Linked DNA regions of Saccharomyces cerevisiae S288C. The main gene of each other region encodes a partner of the protein of the gene in region 2 in a complex. Each region holds a gene or a part of one and is shown on either strand. Other genes may lie near its edges. A codon is read from its position in the direction of its gene.

Evidence for each region. The genes of interacting proteins can lie anywhere in the genome.
Region 1: the proteins of SNU66 (region 2) and HUB1 are in contact, whole or in part, in a crystal structure (PDB 3PLV), measured with the Saccharomyces cerevisiae proteins. Residues at the interface, in NP_014953.3 of Saccharomyces cerevisiae: Ser37 (codon at 2,189), Leu38 (codon at 2,192), Ser39 (codon at 2,195), Ile40 (codon at 2,198), Thr43 (codon at 2,207), Leu46 (codon at 2,216), Arg47 (codon at 2,219), Leu50 (codon at 2,228), Leu52 (codon at 2,234), Lys53 (codon at 2,237), Leu54 (codon at 2,240), Ile55 (codon at 2,243), Pro56 (codon at 2,246); in NP_014430.1 of Saccharomyces cerevisiae: Met1 (codon at 722), Val14 (codon at 683), Arg15 (codon at 680), Lys17 (codon at 674), Cys18 (codon at 671), Leu19 (codon at 668), Asp22 (codon at 659), Asp26 (codon at 647), Lys29 (codon at 638), Val30 (codon at 635), Leu33 (codon at 626), Gln34 (codon at 623).

The regions. Positions count from the first base shown.
Region 1 is NC_001146.8:686,743-689,464, forward strand, and holds HUB1 (ubiquitin-like protein HUB1), read right to left. Parts: upstream 723-2,722; coding exon 501-722; downstream 1-500. Other genes in the region: putative serine/threonine-protein kinase PPG1, read left to right, coding at 1-374; ABZ1 (4-amino-4-deoxychorismate synthase), read left to right, coding at 893-2,722. UniProt on the Saccharomyces cerevisiae protein: Forms conjugate with SPH1 and HBT1. Involved in morphogenesis.
Region 2 is NC_001147.6:894,510-898,467, reverse strand, and holds SNU66 (U4/U6-U5 snRNP complex subunit SNU66), read left to right. Parts: upstream 1-2,080; coding exon 2,081-3,844; downstream 3,845-3,958. Other genes in the region: RNA-processing protein NOP58, read left to right, coding at 108-1,643. UniProt on the Saccharomyces cerevisiae protein: Component of the U4/U6.U5 tri-snRNP particle, one of the building blocks of the spliceosome. Required for pre-mRNA splicing.

The DNA.
Region 1 (2,722 bases), on a different chromosome or scaffold from region 2:
GAGCCCATCAGTTATGTAACGAAGGTTACCAGATATATTTTGATGGATTGGTTACTACTGTATGGTCGGCGCCAAACTATTGTTATCGGTGCGGCAATAAAGCATCTATTCTGGAGCTGTATAGTAAAGATCAATTCTACTTCAACGTTTTCGAAGAGGCACCTGAAAATAAACTGTTGAAAGAGAACAGTATGAACGACAATGCCTTAGAAGATAGCATATCTAATCCGGTAGCCAACAGGAAATTGATTGCAGATTATTTCGAAGACGACTCTGCCTCCGCAGATGGCTCCACGGACCCTGAAATGTACATATTTTCAGATGTATACCAAGCCAGATCTGCTTCTAACAGACATGTTGATTACTTCTTGTAGCTTACTAAACAATAGAAAAGCATTATAGAGACAACGCCATCTTATTATTTCTACATATTCTATCTCTCTCGGTTGCAAATGTATGTATTGTGTATTTAGATCAAAAAAAAAAAAACAGCGCATTTTCTACAGGTAATACAGCTCCAAATTTGTCTGATCATGTACCTCATAATCTTCCAGAGAGATATGGTCTTTTAAAACACTTCCACCCTTCTGCAACACAATTTTGTTTGGTTGGGTGCCAATTTGCAAGGACAATACTTTTTTGAAATCACCTACACTATCTTCAGCAAGGCACTTCACTCTGACTTTTTTGCCTAATCGGTCATTCACAACTACCTCAATCATTTTCAGAGTATTTATTTGCAATCTAAGCTTTGCCACCGCTCCTCTTTCTCAATCTTTTCCTCTCCCTCCTCATCTCTCTCAGCCAAAACCGCGAATATATAAAAACAAGCAAGTCTCCCGTAGAACTTTTACACGATGACCTTTCGAGATTTCACAAGGGGGATAAAGGAATGCTGTCCGATACAATTGACACAAAGCAACAACAGCAACAGCTTCATGTCCTGTTCATAGACTCTTATGATTCATTCACCTACAATGTAGTGAGACTAATTGAACAACAAACTGATATCTCACCGGGAGTCAACGCCGTGCACGTGACGACGGTACATAGTGATACGTTCCAATCTATGGATCAGCTATTGCCACTTTTGCCGCTTTTTGATGCTATCGTTGTTGGCCCAGGACCTGGGAATCCCAACAATGGTGCACAAGATATGGGTATAATATCTGAGCTTTTCGAGAATGCCAATGGAAAGTTAGATGAAGTTCCAATATTGGGTATATGTCTTGGGTTCCAAGCAATGTGCTTGGCTCAAGGTGCTGATGTCAGTGAGCTAAATACTATCAAGCATGGGCAAGTGTATGAAATGCATTTAAACGATGCAGCCAGAGCTTGTGGCCTTTTTTCTGGTTATCCCGATACGTTCAAATCTACGAGGTACCATTCATTGCATGTCAATGCCGAAGGCATTGACACCCTTTTGCCCTTATGCACAACCGAAGATGAGAACGGTATTCTTTTGATGAGTGCTCAAACGAAAAATAAGCCATGGTTTGGCGTACAGTACCACCCGGAGTCATGTTGTTCAGAATTGGGGGGGCTGTTAGTCAGTAACTTTCTCAAGTTGAGTTTCATAAATAACGTGAAGACAGGAAGGTGGGAAAAGAAGAAACTTAATGGAGAGTTTTCCGATATCCTATCTCGATTGGATAGGACTATTGATAGAGACCCCATATACAAGGTAAAAGAGAAATATCCGAAGGGCGAGGACACAACTTACGTTAAGCAGTTCGAGGTCTCTGAAGACCCGAAATTGACATTTGAAATTTGCAACATCATACGAGAAGAAAAATTTGTCATGTCATCTTCTGTGATTAGTGAAAATACGGGTGAATGGTCTATCATTGCTTTACCAAACTCCGCATCCCAGGTATTCACTCATTATGGAGCTATGAAAAAGACTACAGTTCATTATTGGCAAGATAGTGAAATTAGTTACACCTTGTTGAAAAAGTGTCTAGATGGTCAAGATTCGGATTTGCCTGGCTCCCTTGAGGTAATACATGAAGATAAATCCCAATTTTGGATCACTTTGGGTAAATTTATGGAGAATAAAATAATCGATAACCACAGAGAAATACCTTTTATTGGAGGTCTTGTTGGCATTTTAGGTTATGAAATAGGTCAGTACATTGCATGCGGCCGTTGCAATGATGATGAGAATTCCCTTGTTCCCGACGCCAAACTAGTTTTTATCAACAATAGTATAGTCATTAATCACAAGCAAGGGAAGCTTTATTGTATTTCTCTGGATAATACATTTCCAGTGGCATTAGAACAATCATTAAGGGACAGTTTTGTTAGAAAGAAGAATATTAAGCAATCCCTGTCCTGGCCCAAGTATCTTCCAGAGGAGATAGACTTCATTATAACTATGCCCGATAAACTTGACTACGCTAAGGCGTTTAAGAAATGTCAGGATTATATGCATAAGGGTGATTCTTATGAAATGTGTCTCACAACGCAAACCAAAGTTGTACCATCTGCGGTGATAGAACCCTGGAGGATTTTCCAGACCTTGGTACAAAGAAACCCGGCTCCATTTTCAAGTTTTTTTGAGTTTAAAGACATTATTCCCCGCCAAGATGAAACGCCTCCAGTTTTGTGCTTCTTAAGTACTTCTCCAGAAAGGTTTTTGAAGTGGGATGCAGACACATGCGAGCTACGTCCCATCAAGGGAACTGTGAAAAAAGGACCGCAAATGAACTTGGCAAAAGCC
Region 2 (3,958 bases):
CAGAAAAGCAAGAATTATTTATGCTTTCGCAAAAATTTCGCATATAAGTTATTTTTGAAATAGCAGTCGATACCAAATTAGCTGTAGAACCTCAACCTCCTCATACAATGGCTTACGTTTTAACTGAAACTTCAGCTGGTTATGCTCTTTTAAAAGCTTCCGATAAGAAAATCTACAAATCTTCAAGCTTAATTCAAGACTTGGATAGCTCTGACAAAGTCTTGAAGGAATTCAAGATCGCCGCCTTTTCCAAGTTCAACTCTGCAGCTAACGCTTTAGAGGAAGCCAACTCCATTATTGAAGGTAAAGTTTCTTCCCAATTAGAAAAACTTCTGGAAGAAATTAAAAAGGACAAGAAGTCGACCTTGATTGTTAGTGAAACTAAACTGGCAAACGCTATTAATAAGTTGGGATTGAACTTCAATGTTGTTTCCGATGCTGTAACCTTAGATATCTATAGAGCTATCAAAGAATATTTGCCAGAATTGCTGCCAGGTATGTCTGATAATGATCTAAGCAAGATGTCTTTGGGTTTAGCTCATTCCATCGGTCGTCACAAATTAAAATTTTCTGCTGACAAAGTTGATGTTATGATTATTCAAGCAATTGCTTTATTGGATGATTTAGATAAAGAATTAAACACATATGCCATGAGATGTAAAGAATGGTACGGGTGGCACTTTCCTGAGTTAGCTAAGATTGTTACTGATTCCGTCGCTTATGCGAGAATTATTCTAACAATGGGTATCAGATCCAAGGCTTCTGAAACAGATTTGAGTGAAATCTTACCAGAAGAGATTGAAGAACGTGTCAAAACCGCTGCTGAAGTGTCTATGGGTACTGAAATCACTCAAACCGATCTAGACAACATTAATGCTTTAGCTGAACAAATAGTCGAATTTGCCGCTTACAGAGAACAGTTGTCCAATTACTTGTCTGCAAGAATGAAGGCTATTGCTCCAAACTTGACTCAGTTGGTTGGTGAATTAGTTGGTGCTAGACTTATCGCTCATTCAGGTTCCTTAATTTCCTTGGCCAAATCACCAGCTTCTACCATCCAAATATTAGGTGCCGAAAAGGCTTTATTCAGAGCTTTAAAGACCAAGCATGATACACCAAAGTATGGTTTGCTATATCATGCCTCTCTTGTTGGTCAAGCTACTGGTAAGAACAAAGGTAAGATTGCAAGAGTTCTGGCTGCTAAGGCCGCTGTCTCATTGCGTTATGATGCTTTAGCTGAAGATAGAGACGATTCAGGTGACATTGGTCTAGAATCAAGAGCCAAAGTAGAAAATAGATTATCCCAATTAGAAGGTAGAGATTTAAGAACTACTCCAAAGGTTGTTCGTGAGGCTAAGAAGGTGGAAATGACTGAAGCTAGGGCCTACAATGCAGATGCTGATACCGCAAAGGCTGCTTCTGATTCTGAATCCGATTCTGATGATGAAGAGGAAGAAAAGAAAGAAAAGAAAGAAAAGAAGAGAAAGAGAGACGATGATGAAGATTCCAAGGATTCTAAAAAAGCTAAGAAGGAAAAGAAGGACAAGAAGGAAAAGAAGGAAAAGAAGGAAAAGAAGGAGAAGAAAGAGAAGAAAGAGAAGAAGGAAAAGAAGTCCAAGAAAGAGAAGAAAGAGAAGAAATAAGGATGCATTTTACATTTTAATAATTAGTGACCCCTCGCGTTCCCTTTTATTTGGATTTAGAAAATTTTCTATAATTATCCAATGCTTAACCTATTTCTCATTTCATATTTTATTCCATAATCTGTAAATTAGTGCTGTACGCCCATATTGAATTGAACTTATTATTTTTTTTAGGTGATATATTTGAAATAGTATACATAATTTATGTTTACATAGTTTTAGGTACTTTATATCATTAAAAGTTTTGTTTAACCTTTAAAAAATTTGTACCATTAGCAGTTATAGGTATTCATATCGTGAACTGCGCAACTTAAAATTATTCGCGGGACGAAAAAGATATACAAAATTTTTGAAAGTGAGCAAAGGATGAGATGGTGCAATCGTTACTATTTGATATTAATAAAAAGGCAATCATCACATCAACCCTTAATTAATTTATGAACAAAACGGAAAACCTTTCTATTGAGGAGACAAATGAAATAAGGGAAAAGCTGGGTATGAAACCTATTCCAGTTTTTCAAGAAAAGAATACAGACCATAAAGAGTCTTTGTCAATCGAAGAGACGAATGAGTTGAGGGCGTCCCTTGGCCTAAAACTTATCCCACCCCAACAAAATTTCAATTCTTCTCCCCCTAATGTACATAACACATCCAAAATCGATGAACTTCGAGAGAAGATAACAAAGTTTCAAAAAAAGGCGAACGCTCCTTTACGAATGGCGCACCTTCTCGAAGAAACTAATGTAAATGACGACAGTTCATGGCTAGAAAACATGGATGCAATTCCTTCCTCACATGAATCCAAACGTTCCAGCACATTGCCAAGAAAAGGCGCCACGAAGGAAGACGAAAATATTGATCTGCATAATGTTCAAGTATCATATAATATCGAGGCGCTTAGCCCAAAGAAAGATACGATTCTAACTTTGAAAGAGAGCAGTATTTTTGATGATACTGATTCTACCGAAGTGTTAGAGAATGTGAAAGCTGCCGAGGAAAACGCTGATAGAGAGAAACTACGATTACGACAAATGAATAAAGATAGAAGACAAAAAAAAAAAATTTTAAATGTATCTAGCTTAGATATTGAAGAAGAAGAAGAAGGAGAGAAACACTCAATTACAACTACACATCTAATCATCGGAGCAGAACAGGGTGTTATGAAGGCACCGAATACTATATCAGCAAAACCACCAACGGGAAAAGTTAAAGTGAATTTCGATAGCGCAAATAATATGTCAGATGAAGATGGTGGAGACTTTAAACCTTTAAAAATTAAAAAACGTAAGATCAAGGACCCAAGATCTACTAAAGCTAGGAAGTCAAAAATTACTGATAAGATGGAAATTGTTAAGTTAGTAGATGAAGATGAAAGTTTATCCTGGATGGAAGAAGAACAGCCAGTCACCATAATAAATCCCAGAACAAGCTCAAACAATGAATTGAAAGGGCCAGAGGACCTCGCTAGAGAAATTGAAAAGGCAAGAGACGAAGAGAAGCGACGCACTGAAAGCATTTTGAAAATGCGTGAAATTTCCAACAGTATTGTCGTCGACGAAAAGGTAACTTTTTTAAATACTTTGGATACCAGTCTCTCCGAACGAAGTGCTACTGAGAATAAAGTGAAAGTGCATGGTGAAGGAGAGAAAAATATCGGAGATGTTACCAATGGACATACTAAGGAAGGGAGTGGAAACAATACACTGACTGAAGCAGTTAATAATGAACCAAACTACGAGGGAGATGCTGAAAATGCACCGAACTTTTTTTCTGGTCTTGCATCAACACTAGGATATCTTCGGAAAAAGAGTGTTTTCACCACAGGAGACGTCGATTTGAAACCAGGAAAGGATGTTAATAATAGTGAATCACTTCGAAGGGATGTCCGAAATAAAGAGCATACGGGCACTGGCACTTATACAAAAGATAAGCTACACGGACTGGAACAATTCACATCTAGTGACTCTTCCAATGCAAATACTCATTCAAAAAGACAAGATCATTATGATCCTGACATAAAACTGGTTTACAGAGACGAAAAGGGAAATCGACTGACTACTAAGGAGGCATATAAAAAACTGTCACAGAAATTTCATGGTACAAAAAGCAACAAGAAAAAGAGAGCAAAAATGAAATCCAGAATTGAAGCAAGGAAAAATACCCCTGAAAATGGTAGTTTGTTTGAATTTGATGACAATTAACCTAATCAGCAAATTCTACTAGCCCCAGCTTTTAATATTCAATATCTTGTTTTTCTCAAGTTTGAAACCTGTGTATAATTGTATTTGGTGTATAAGGCTACGTGGTGGCCTTGA